Medicago truncatula: one gene and its partner. The protein of the gene in region 1 binds, or shares a complex with, the protein of each later gene. Links are inferred from orthologs where the notes say so. Each region holds a gene or a part of one and is shown on either strand. Other genes may lie near its edges.

Evidence for each region.
Region 2: SNF1-related protein kinase regulatory subunit gamma-1 (region 1) and SNF1-related protein kinase regulatory subunit beta-3 share a complex: the UniProt entries of both Arabidopsis thaliana proteins name them as parts of the probable heterotrimeric complex. The link is inferred for Medicago truncatula from reciprocal best matches to the Arabidopsis thaliana genes KING1 and AT2G28060.

The regions. Positions count from the first base shown.
Region 1 is NC_053045.1:50,748,171-50,755,171, reverse strand, and holds SNF1-related protein kinase regulatory subunit gamma-1, read left to right. Parts: upstream 1-3,494; coding exon 3,495-3,702; intron 3,703-3,983; coding exon 3,984-4,156; intron 4,157-4,375; coding exon 4,376-4,555; intron 4,556-4,654; coding exon 4,655-4,930; intron 4,931-5,149; coding exon 5,150-5,313; intron 5,314-5,573; coding exon 5,574-5,871; 3' UTR 5,872-6,203; downstream 6,204-7,001. UniProt on the Arabidopsis thaliana protein: Regulatory subunit of the probable trimeric SNF1-related protein kinase (SnRK) complex, which may play a role in a signal transduction cascade regulating gene expression and carbohydrate metabolism in higher plants.
Region 2 is NC_053043.1:46,814,939-46,821,939, reverse strand, and holds SNF1-related protein kinase regulatory subunit beta-3, read right to left. Parts: upstream 4,551-7,001; 5' UTR 4,415-4,550; intron 4,325-4,414; 5' UTR 4,236-4,324; intron 783-4,235; 5' UTR 754-782; coding exon 691-753; intron 615-690; coding exon 288-614; 3' UTR 117-287; downstream 1-116. UniProt on the Arabidopsis thaliana protein: Regulatory subunit of the probable trimeric SNF1-related protein kinase (SnRK) complex, which may play a role in a signal transduction cascade regulating gene expression and carbohydrate metabolism in higher plants.

The DNA.
Region 1 (7,001 bases):
AATTGATATTAACATAAGTGCACGATTTTTATGTTGTAGTAAAGTATAGACCCTACATATGCTTGTGAATATCAAGGTAGCCTTTTTATTCTCCTAAGTGTGCAAATAAATAAAGTATTTTTTGTATTTCATAAAGGATGCAAGATGATTGGAAAATGATTTGATGTTTGTTTTAAAAATATGTAATGATGGAAAGTGTATCAAAATCATCGGAGTTCATTGTTGTAAGGAACAATCCAAATCTTATTCCTTCCTTTTACCTCGAAAATGCATGTCTGAGGATAAGATATTCACTACTGTTTTCTATCTCTAGTAAGAAAGAATTGCCTCATTAACAAGATTACTTATTCCCATTGCTAACCTTATTGATAATGACCACTAAGCTCGAATACCCATTAGTACATCCCAAAAAAGTCTTTGGCTATTATCATGTTTTGTTTAACCTTATATTCCAACGACTTACCTTCATTTTCCATTTATCGGTAGGTTGCCGAAAATTTTAGTGAATTAAGATCTTTCAATATTCACATTATCAATTTCAACTCTTGTTCCTTCATTGATAACATCGATAAATGATTGTTAGATCTTGTTGTGCTTAAGTCAATCTAACTTGGCTAACCAAGTTCTAACAACCACACTATAATTCTATTTAAAAAGCAAGATCTCTCCACAAAGAAGATTTAGATATTTAGCAAGCAAGATCTTTCCATAAACAAGATTTAGCCTATAAACTACGTCCATCTGATTCATACAACGATATGGTAGTTCGGAAAGTGGCATTCTCATAGAATGCGTTGATTTCCCACAATGGCTCACGTTGTTTGAAGGAAGAGATGCTAAGATCTCATGACTTGGAAAACATGAAAAGAAATCGACAAAATTATCCTGATTCTAAGTAAGGTTGATTGAAATGGTAAGATATTTCTTTCAGTTTAACAACCGATCTTTGATTCGATTTTAATACTTAAAATGTAGTAGTCTTCAATCACTTTTAGAGAGAGTTTTGTACCCGATTTGAGATATAAATATATGTAGCTGTGCGCAGATTTGACACTTGGTTCATAAAAAAAAGTCACGCTAACTGTATCCATGTAACACTTATTAAGAAAAAAAAAGAGTAAATTTTGTATCTTTCCTAAACAATATTAGTAGTCACGATATTGTCATGATGTTGTGGTGTTTGTGGCGACGATGCAACAACAAAGTGTGGGTGGGTGAACTTAATCCTATTACCGAGGTCGTCCAGCTTGCATGAGATGCTCTTATTCAATGGCAGTCAGTTCGCGTTATGAAAAATATGTAATGATGGAAAGTGCATCCGAATCATCGAAGTTCATTGTTATAATAAAAAACAATCCAAATCTTATTAAGTGTAATGTTGACAAAGCTTTTTTTGCTGATCAACGGTGCTTCGGTATTAGTATGTGAATTGGAATTCTCGAGGCCATTTTATTAAAGCTTTAACGAAATGGTAGGATGGTTTCCTCCCCGATAAAAGCAGAGGCATTAGACTGTGTGGTGCCATCTTTTAGCTTGATCAATTGGGACTATCAAATATGCAAATTGAGCTAGATTGTAAGTAAGTGGTAGACATCATTGCTGATAGACTAATAATCAATCTGAATTTGTTAATAGGGTTAATGGTGTTTTACCCCCCTGTAATATAAGTCATTTTTGGTTTTCCCTCCTGTAAAATATTTTTTTTGGTTTACCCCCTGTAAATTTTATTTTTTTTTGGAATACCCCCTAATAGGTCATAAAAAAACGAAAAAATTATGCAAAAAAAAAATAAAGTCGTTTTTTTATGACCTATTAGGGAGGTATTCCAATTTTTTTTTTTTTACAGGGGTGTAATATTACAAGGGGATAAAACACCATTAACCCTTGTTAATATTACGTTTTGATGTAGATCACTATTACGATATTTTCCAAATGTTAAGACAAGTTTTATTAAAAAAAAAACAAGTAAATTGTATTGCCCAAGTGTAAAGAAGGTGTCAAAATTGTATACCTGTCACCATATCTTTAATTTGAGTCTATCATATATTAAATTTAGGAAAATGTTAACCAATGTTCTTAAATATTAGTTAAGAATATAAAATTAAAAAGATTGTGAAAAAGTGAATATTCAACTTTTTGAAAATAAAAAAAAAGTTGTTGTTTCCAATAAAAAAATTCTATAATTAACTTCCTTAATTAGTGTCATAAGGTCACTGGTTAATAAGACTCTTACATTTATTATGTCGTCGATAGTTTAACTAATGTGCCAAAATTATAGTATGAGTTAATTTTTTGGTATGAGTTATTGTGGGTAAAAGAAAAAAAGCAAAACAATATGAATAATCATGGAAGGAGTGGTGGTCAAAGGCAGAGTCACGTATTGTTCCTATCCTGACCTGTCTCAATTTGAATTAAAAATTAAAAATAATGTTACTTGACTGTCTAAACTAGATAATGATATTATTTCTATCTTCAATATAATAGATTGACACGCCATCTCCATCTCCACATCACAGTGAGAGTGAGCGTTATCAGTGACTCGATATCAATAATTATGTATGTACTCAGCTCAAACAAATACAAGCATAACCTAACAAAGGGCCCTATTTCCAGATTGATTGGTCTTGTGCCTTTAAATTAATTTTGTATCTAAAACAATTTGTACCTTTCAATTTTACGGTCAAATTCAGGTTAATTATATAATTCCTATCCCAAATATTCCCGAATCAGTTTAAGTGAACATCTGAGTCATTAAGCTCAGTTTAGTGAAAGTGCCAAAGTGACAAAAGAATTATTATATTAATATAATATAATTAATTAAACTAATATAAGACCTAAGGTTTATTTTCATTTTTACTCCACCCAACTCACTTAAATATTAAGGATTATGTAAGTGGGACGTGACTCCCTTAAAATAAAAAATGTCATTAAAAAACTCAGAGTTGATACATGTAATCAATGAGGTGTAAGATATAAAAAGCAACCAATAATTATCATCTTTTAGAATAACAAATATTTTTTAGCATAATTGCTTTATCAAAATCAATAATCATGAATAGTTTATTACATACAAGTAGCATGATGAAATCAATTCTATGTGCTGCGCAAAACACTCTCCGGCTCATATTAGTGTAGCACACCCTTGTGGCCCATAGTAAAAACCGGATAAGAATGTGTTTCCATAATGAAATTACAAATTTGGATAAGTATACCGAATAGTATGGAGCACGTAACCATTCACGTTGACCACTGTAGTAAAATCAAACACAACATGTTACATCATCATAACCGTACACGCTTCCTTAATATAACCAAAATATGAAAATCAAAGGTGAATAATTCAGGTGTAGTGTAGGACACTAGTTTCAAATGTTTTAGTAGATTTTAGATCCCATTTTTCAGTTTATTATTATGGAACAATGTGTTGGGAGTAGTAAAGAGAAAAAGACAAAAACATAGAGATCTTATAATATTGTCATCATCATCAATTCATCATGCAGTTACACAGAGAGAGAAAAGAAGAGGGAGTAATGGCAATGGCTACAATGAGAGAGATGCCAAGGAGCCCTGAAGCCAAACTTGGGATGAGAGTTGAAGATCTATGGGATGTTCAAGAGGCACAATTAAGTCCTAATGACAAACTTAATGCTTGTTTTGAAAGCATACCTGTTTCTGCTTTTCCTTTGCCTGCTAAAAACCAAGGTAGTTTAGTGTCTATGTATGTATGTGTCTGATTTTGATTGAATAAAAGAAAAAGTGATTTTGATCACACCCAGATGAAAATTTATGTGCATGTTTGGTATCACGATAGTATATCAGAATCATGGTGGTTCACCGTGATTCTGACAAACCAACCAACTATGGTACCAAACATGCATGTGTGACCAATTGATGTGTTATTGTGTGTGTGTGTTATAATTTTTTTGTGGTGTGTTTTTATTGGGTTTGTTCTAAAAGTGTGAATTTTATGTTTGCTTGTATAGAAATTGAAATAAAATCAGATGCTACCTTGGCTGAAGCTGTGAAAATACTAGCACGTCACAATATTCTGAGTGCACCTGTTGTGGATGTTGATGCACCTGAAGATGCTACTTGGATTGATAGATACATCGGAATAGTTGAGTTTGCTGGAATTGTTGTATGGATTTTGCATCAGGTTAGATACATATGTCACTTGTCAATTCAATTATTTCACTTTCAGAATAAAAATGAGGAAAAGATCAAAAGACATATGAATCTAAAATTTACAATCAATTTTTGTACTTATATTTACAGTGTTTTCATATCTAAAAATGATATGATACCTGTTCTATTTAAGTGATTTTCTTAGATGCTTCAATTTCACACTAAGCTAATGTGATAATGTTGTTGACAGTCTGAGCCTCCATCCCCCAGGAGTCCATCCACTCCAACTAGCGCAAGTGCTATTGCAGCCGCAGCAAACGGAAATACTTTTGCCCGAGAACTCGAAGCCTTAGGCCTCGGATCTGCAGCGACAACTTCTGGAAACTTTTTTGAGGATCTTACTTCTTCTGAACTTTATAAGAACACGAAGGTTGTTTTGCGATGTCTAAATTTCTTTCAAGTGATTCTTCTTCCAGCTACTAATGAGTTTGTATTTAGTTATTTAAGTAGCTAACTTTTTCGCAAACAGGTTCAAGATATTTCAGGAACATTTCGATGGGCTCCGTTTCTTGCTTTGGAGAGATCAAACTCATTTCTAACCATGCTCTTGTTGCTTTCTAAGTACAAAATGAAGAGTGTTCCTGTGGTAGACTTGGGTTCTGGTACAATTGATAACATCATCACACAACCCGCCGTGATTCATATGTTGGCAGAATGTGCCGGACTTCAATGGTTCGAAAGTTGGGGAACCAAGGAACTATCTGATGTTGGTCTTCCCCTTGTGACACCAAAACAGATCATCAAGGTGTGTACTATATCATATAAGCTCTCATTGCATTGAACCTTGTCAAGTATGAATTCTGCATAACTCTAGTGCATACAGAGTAAAATGCTATCTTGCATTTCTTAAATGTGTGTGCATATATGGAAAATGCTTCAAAATAGTTATTTCATTTCCCCTTTCAAGTAAAGTAAACTTGTCGATCTTGATGAACTTGACAATGGATCGTTTCATTCTTTTCAGGTTTATGAGGATGAACCAGTCCTTCAAGCATTTAAAGAGATGAGGAAAAAGAGGGTTGGAGGGGTGCCTGTAATCAAAAGAGGTGGCACCACGGCAGTTGGTAATATAAGCTTGCGAGATGTTCAATTCTTGCTAACTGCTCCAGAAATCTATCATGATTATAGGTATGTCAGAGGTTTTAAATTGTGATTCGCAGTTGCGCCACAGTCCTTGATATTGCTGAGAAATGTTGTCAAATATGGCTGATGCGACCTCAATCACGGTCAGAGACATCAAAAACCTTGTGTCACGACCTGAACTGTGGACGCGGACCTTTTATTAAAACTGTGTTTAGACCGCATTGCTGATATCTTCTATCTTTCTTTCTTTAGTTGTTCTATCTGTTTCATTACTACATACTCATTGGATGTTCACATTTTGACAGAACTATTACAGTGAAGGACTTCCTGACCTCCGTTAGAAGCTACTTAGAGAAGAATAAAAACGCATTCCCAATGTCAAGTGAATTCATTACATGCAAAAGGGACTGTACAGTGAAAGAGTTGATTCAATTGCTTGACAAAGAGCAAATTCACAGGGTCTATGTTGTGGATGATGATGGGAACCTTGAAGGACTAATCACACTAAGAGATATCATCTCAAGGCTAGTACATGAACCCCACGGCTATTTTGGTGATTTCTTTGATGGTGTTCTCCCTCTACCTGCTAACAGCAGGGTTTAACAGACAAGGCATCAAGAAAGAATAACTTGCTCTTGCAGAGATTTTTTGTTTTTGTTTTTGTTTTTGAAATAATTCTTCAGAGGAAAAGTAAAAAATATGTATTTATCTTCAGGTTGAAGATGTGTACCTAGGTCTTTGTAATGTGTAGGCAGTTTGCAAGTTACTTGCACCTGTTTTAACTAATTTTAGAATGGGACTTTTATGTACTGTAAATTCTGGTGTAACCGTAAGTTCTGTCAAATTTTGGGTTGTTTTCGTTGTCTTCGATTCGTGTTTCTGTTCACCTTATTATGACTAGAGCGACACGTGTCTATCCACATTTTTCTTTTGTATTTTGTTTTTTTATGTATTATAAAATATGTTTACTTCAGTTTAATAAATTTATGTGTTTTTCACTTTAAAATATTCAACATAGTTAATTTTCAGATTTTCTATAATTTTGACATACTATTAAGATTTAAATTTGCAGAGAATTTAATTTATTAAGGTAATTTTGTCCAGCAAAATTCCGACCAAAAGTTACTCCCTCCGGTCCTATTTATAAGAGAATTTTAGGTCAACAAAAGTTGATGTATCTAGTTAAAAATTCAGTCCAAATACATTCACTTTTGTTGACCTAAATTTCTCTTATATATAGGACCGGAGGTAGTATTAGTTAACTTTCGAGTTCCTTTTATATACTACTAACGGAAAATGCTCACAAGTAATGGTATAAATTTTGAAATAGTACCTGGTGCATGAAAAGGCTTAAGTTGAATGGTAGTCTTTGTTGGTGGCTATGGAAACAGACAAAAGATAATATCCCAAGTCCCAACACGACAAAAAAGAGACCCATTATTCTCGGGGGTCGGCTTGGAACGTATCCCAATTGGAACTTGTGTTTTGCACTTGTTAGTTTGACGTAGGAAGTTGACAAAAACAAAGAAAATGAAAAGGTTGAAAACAAAGGGAAAATATAGGAAAACTACACTAGCGTACGGCGTACTCACATTGAAAACCAGTTACTTAGCGTGCTTAGCCAAAAGTGAAGTTTCATCACATGCTCAAATAAAGCAACTCTTCCAGTTTAGGCTGGCCAAGCCTAAAGTGTAAAGATGTTCAAGAGACAATTAGCATTTCTGTTTTGGTCA
Region 2 (7,001 bases), on another chromosome or scaffold:
ACAAATTTGAGCAATATATAGAGGACAGATTGAGAAATCATCTTAATTTTTTGTTTTGGTGTAGATGGTTTGAAGTTTCTATTTATTTTTTAAAGCCTTATATGCAAGGAAAAAAATTACTGAAGCCTTATAAGTCCAATAAATATCACTTCCTGCTAATTTAAACATCAAGTCTACACATTAAATCATTACAAATGAACAACAATGAAAAGTTCATGATATGCACATCAAATGATTTTGGTCCACTTCTTTAAACTGGTCTTTCGAGAAGGTTTATAGTCAGCACATCAAATGTTTGTGGCTCCCCTTCTTTGAACTGGTTTGTAGAGCACTGCTGTAACAAATTTGGTACGAAAGCGATGAGTGTATCCCAAAGCCACCACAGATCTTTGTGGCTCTCTATTCTCAATATAAAGATGATTTAGAATTGCGTTCTGAGGCAATGGAAGAGAACTAAAACTATCGACATTAGCAGGATAGCCGACCAAGGTGTTTTGCAATTGTGGAGGAATCTCAGGTGGATCACGTGCCTCGTCTTCATTCAAAGGGTATGCATTATTGTAACCGGAGTCAGATGTTTTTAAAATTTCAAATCCCATGACAGTTGCTTCACCCTGCGTGTAGATTGTAAATTTAGGCTTTACTAATGACAAGTAATAGATGTTATTATTCATTACATGAATTACTTACCGGGTTTGCAGCATATGGATTATTCATCTTGCTATTCAAGTCAACCACTAGTTGTGAATTCATCAATGAGTCCAATTAAGATTCCAAGAAACCTGAAGAAAGATACTTCAATTTAGCATAATCAACAAATAATACACAAAAATCTATTATACAACGGATACACTCCAATTGGTTAATCTAAAGAGACAACAAATTACTAATACTATCAACTTATGTACACCTAATCTGATTAAAAACTACACAACAAAGCAAAGTAATGGGAACACGAATTTATTCATAAAAAGGAAAAATCTGGTAACAACTTAAAAGTAAGGGATGATATCTTTGTAATAAAAGTTACGAGATTATAAATGTTCAAAGGATATTTACAGGCAGCACTCTAATCTTTTAAAACATAAAACAACAGATTCATAATCATAATTCTTCATACAAAATTACATCTGCCATCATTTTCAGAGCCTAATACATGCAAAGAGGAACTCAAAGTAGCTATATAATATAACACAGGCAGGCACTCACAATTACAACTACGACTCAACAGTGGATAACATATCCTTCAGTGCACAAAACAAATCACAAGTTAGCATTTCACTGAACATGATCCACAACAAATTTCAATATTTTAAACAAGTTGTATTGAATGCTAATACAGTAATAACATGGTATATTGATCAAACTCCCAAGCTTCGACATGCATCTTTGTTATTAGTATTACAAATCTGAGCAGTTGAAGATATAAATAACTTGCAAGTTTTGCATCAGATTACCAAACTAATAGAAAGAGAATAAATATCTAACATTAAAACAGGAGAAATCTCAAGAATCTTGATAAGATTCATAATAATAACAAATTACAGATTTCGACGAAACGGTGGTATGTGATGTGAAACAACTTATACTAAGAATCTTAATATCATGTCTTCTATGACCAGTAGCCACAATATCATAAAGAAAATAGACACGGAAGGTTCAACAAACGAGCAATATCATGAATTTAAAGTCTTTATAGTAAAATCAGATTATAATTTCACATCAATTTTGGCGAGATTACACTGTGGACTACCTTCAAACACACTCTAAAACTGACTATAGCCGTCCAACAACATAGACCCATCAAAAGATTCAATTTTCTCACAACAGGAAACCTACAATAAGAATATGGTTGAAGATAATTGCTTTACAGGCCCCCTTGCATTGCTGCAAAATCCCCTCAAAACACACATCGGAAGATAACTTCCGATCATTTCTATGAGCAAAAAAACAAGCCTATTGGAAGATATGTTCTGATAGGTTGAGCAACTCGGAGGGCCTATTCAGCAATTAAAATACAACATTGGCCCAGTGGTACCTAAATCTCCCCTGGTCTCAAAATTCAATTTTTATGGCTGTTATGAGTGAAACTCGAGTCAAACTGCTAAATGATACTACCATAAAAATCCAGCTAAAAAACTACTCCATCATGTCCTAAATACTGCCTCTGGTCCTTCTTATAAGAGACTTGTAGGTCAACAAAAGTTGATGTATTTGGTTCATAATATGGACCAAATACATCGACTTTTATTGAATCGTATGTCTCTTATAAAAAGGACAAGAGGGAGTATAAGAGAAAGTTGGGTTGTGTCAACAAAAGTTGATGTATCAGGTTCAAAATTTGGACCAGATACATCAACTTTCCCTTATATTTTAGACCAGAGGTAGTATATGCAAATCCTCCTAGGCCAACTTAACCTACATAATTTCTTCAATTGCATTCACAAACACAAATCCAAGGCATAGATTACACATTAAAGTAATGGGTGATATCTTTTATTTTGGAAGAAGGGGTGTGATATCTTAGTAATGAACAAAGTTATAAGATTATAAATGTTCAAAGGATATTTACTGGTAATACTCTAATCTTTAAAACATAAAATCACATATTCATAATTCTTCATACAACGGCCACCATTTTCAGAACCTAATAATACATGTAAAGTGGAAGTCAAAGTAGCTATATAATCAGTCACTCACTGTTAGAACTCAACAGAGGATAACATATCCTTCAATGTACAAAACAAATCACAAGTTAGCATTTCACCAAATGTGATCCTCAACAAATTTCAATATTTTTAATATTTGAATTGAATGCTTAATGCTTATATGGTAATAACACAGTACAATGATTAAACTGCCAAACTTCTACATACATCTTCGTTATAAAAAATCTGTGCAGTTGGAAATATAAATAATTTGCAAGTTTTGTATCAGATTACCAAACAGATAGAAGGAGAATAAAGATCTTGCATTAAAACAGGAGAAATCTCAAGAATCTTGATAAAATTCATGATAATCACAAAATATAGGATGAAAGATTCGGAAGAATAATGGCATGTGATATGACACAACCTATATTATGAATCTTATACTATGTCCTGTAAGATCCGATAACCAAGATATCACGAAGAAAAACATGAACCATGAAGGAAAGTAGACACGGATGGATCAAAAAACGACCAATGTCAAGAATCTCAATGTTTTATAGTTAATCAGAGTATAACTTCACGGCAATTTTGATGAGACTACACTATGGACTACTCTTCTACAAACCAACCGTCAAACTGACTACAGCGGTCAAACAACATAGATCCATCAAATGACTCAATTTTCTCACAACAGCAAACCTACAACAAGAATAAGATTGAAATACAATGCTGGCCCAGTGGTACCTAAATCCACCCCTGGCATTGTAGTCAGGATCGAGTGCTGGTTACGGCACCTCAATCGTGCTTCGACTTTACTCGGGTTAATTTTTCTTTTGTTTTCATCTGTTTGCTCTGTTTTTTCTCTGCTGCCTCTGTTTTTACTCTATTTTCTGTTTTTTTGCTTGTTTCCTCTGTTTTTCCTCTATTTTCCGTTTTTTCTCTCAACTCTATCAAAAACCTACCAATCCTACTTACGGACCGTGCTATGACCCTCGTGTTTACGATCTTTTACGAGCCTACCGATTCCACTTAAAAACTTGAACCTGACTACATTGCCCCCTGGTCTCAACATTCAATTTTTCTCACGGGCCATTATTATTGAAACTCAAGTCAAACTGATAAATAATGCTACCATAAAAATCCAGCTAAAAAACTACGTTGAGTCAACAAAAATTGTTGTATCTGGTTCAAATTTGGACTAGATACATCGATTTTTGTTGATTCAACTTTCTTTTATATTTAAGACCGGAGATAGTATATGCAAATCTTCCTAGGACAAGTTAACCTAGATAATTGTTTGAGTTGCATTCACAAACACAAATCAAAGGCACATACCAAACATACACAATCCCTCATCAAATGAAATACAATGACAACACCCACATAACAAGAACCTCAAAAACAAACTACACATACCAATTGAAATTGCTCCTAAGCAGAAACAAAAACTAAAACCAATAAATCCCAAAACCCTTTTACACTGAATTTGGGGGCATGCAGGTATAAACAAAATGCAATAACATAAAACACAATTTCTAACCGATTAATAACAATTCAACACAAAAATGAAGAAAAAAAACTTACCTTGACTTGAGTTATCTTGCTTAAGATTTCGATAGTGACCGAACCAAAACACAGAAGGGAGAAAGTGATCGACGATGGAAAGTGCTGAGCTGCAAATGGAAAGAAAAAGTGATTATGAAGCGTTGATTTTGAAGCAATGAAGCAAAAAAAAAAAAAAAACATTTACGAAGAAAACGAACCCTAACTAAGAGTGCATCGTATTCTGTGAAGAAGAAGAAGACAAGCAGAGCACGCAACGCAAAGTTGGCTTTTAAAGGTCGTCAAAGACTCAAATGTGGCTGTTACAACTTACGAACCTTTTTCCAACAAAGACAGATGTCATGTTACTACCCGAATATAATAACATTTTTTTTAAAGCTTAATTGCACTTTTGGATCCTATAAGTTGCGATTATGGACCCCTAACTAATTTAAATACAAAATAACCCACTATGTTTTGATTCTTTGACAGTTTTGAACCCCCAGTCCATTGTTGACTCGATCAACGCTGACGTGACACCCTAAGTGAGGTGCCACGTGTCATTTTTTTTATTTTTTTTTTTGCCTTGGGGGCCAAAACTGTCAAAGAATCAAAACATAGGGGGCTGTTTTGTATTTAAATTAGTTAGGGGTCCATAACCGCAACTTTTGAAAAGATAGGGGTCCAAAAATACAATTAAGCCTTTTTTTAATGCTAACTTGTGCGTTAAGGCACAAGTTCATGATTCAAATATAAAAATTATTTATTGAAATGTGTGTATTGTATTTAATTTTTAACTTTTTAATGAATTAAATGCACAAAATTTTATACAATATTTCTTCTTTTGTGTTTCTTAACATGTGCCCAAAAAGCACATGTTAACACTATATTTTTTTTTTATATACCAAAATATATAAAAACATTTTAACCTGATTATACTCTCTCCGTCACATCTTAAGTGAGTCTTTTGTTAATTTCACACATATTAAAAAAAAAAAATGTTCATGCTAACTTGTCCTCTAAGAGTACAAGTTAAGAAGGTAAATGCACAAGTTAAAAATATAAAATTAAAGTCCCATAAGTCCTAGCTCAATTGGCAAAAATACCGAAATAATTAGAGTGGACGTCATGACCGGGGTTCGAACCCCGGTACCTCCACTTTGTGTTTGTGTGTTTATGATGGCTTTGCAATTTCGTCTATCTACCAAAAAATAAAGATAAAATTTAAAGCTTTCAAAATTAAAAATACACAATTTTTAAGATTTAATTTCTACTTTTGATTTCTTATCCTATGTCATTAGGGCACAAGTTAACATTTCTCTAAGAAAAAATCTATAAGTGAAAAAGAGAGAAAAATAGTTTTGAGTGTTTTGTCAAATATTCGTGCATTCTTCCTTATCATACATGCAAAGTAGCATATATTGAATTGAGAGTGATGAAATTAGAATTGATCAGAGTTATAATTGAAAAAAGTAATTACTATTTTATTGAAAAGTAAAATGAGTCAATTTTTTGGGATAATATTTTTTTTTTGTTGCAAATGACTCATTTATTATGGGACGGAGGGAGTAATATAAATGATTAAGTTGAATAAAGAAAAAGATAATTGACTAAAGCGCTACCTGATTGTAACATAAAAGATTAAAATCGGAAAAAATATATAAGATAAAGGATGAAAATATTACCTGAAATTAAGTTAAGGGACGAATTGTGTAATTTTGCCTAAAATATAAGAAAAAAAGTTATAGTACTTTTATTTAAAAATACATAGACCAATAGGTTGAGGAGAGTTGGACCGAATTTAAGGGAACGAGAGTATTGAAGATATATAGACCTGAAGTCCATAATAAATTTGACTAAAAAAAGATAAGAAAAAATTAAAAGTTATATTATGTTATTATTTAAAAATACATAGTCCAATAGATTGATGAGAGTTGAACTGAATTTAAAAAAGAAGAGAGTATTGAAGATATATAGACCTCAAATTCATGATAAATTTGACTCATATTGAGGCTTATCATGCTAAAAAACTTAATTAAAGGAAAAAAAAGGTTATATGGCTCTTCTTAGGCATTGCACGGCTGACGCTAGGGCATAGGCCGCGAGTGCGACGGCCTAGGGCCCATGCCGGTAGGGGCCCATTTTTTTTTAAGATGGGGTGTATATAGAAATATTTGAGTTATGGGAGGTATATATAGTAAAATTCTTTGAAAAGACCCAAACATTAATATGATAAAGGACTGGGTTCAATGCCGCATTGAACCGGTACAACTTAGTTGCCAACACATATGTTTACCACCAGGCCATCTTTATGGTTCTATATTTGCACCTTATTAGTATATGTTGGATTTTGCCATGTATTATACATATAAAAAAAAATATTTTGGATCCCAAAATTTGATAAGTCGAGCTCGGTTGAATTGTGTTTTTTTTAGAAAAAGAGAAGTATATAATTGTTGTTGTGTATGAACGGATGTCCATTCTATAAGGGAAAATTAAATCTACTCACAAGAGCTTTCACCAAGTTGTTAGTTTAGATTCAACTCATATTTGTCATAAACAAGATTTTTAGCAAAGTTATTTCGGAGGTTGCAGCACAGGCTATAACCACAACACCGAAACATGTAGTAAAATAATCTATAGAGGTTGTAACTGCACAATCAACACAATCTGTTGGAAATATTAAGAGTAAATTAAAATTTGGATGGTTAGGAAAGAAAGAAGAGAGTTTTGTTATGCCGTGGCCAAAATCACTGCCCTGAAAGTAAATTTCCGGTGCAACCCAATATCCGGTTTTGCTCCCCAAAG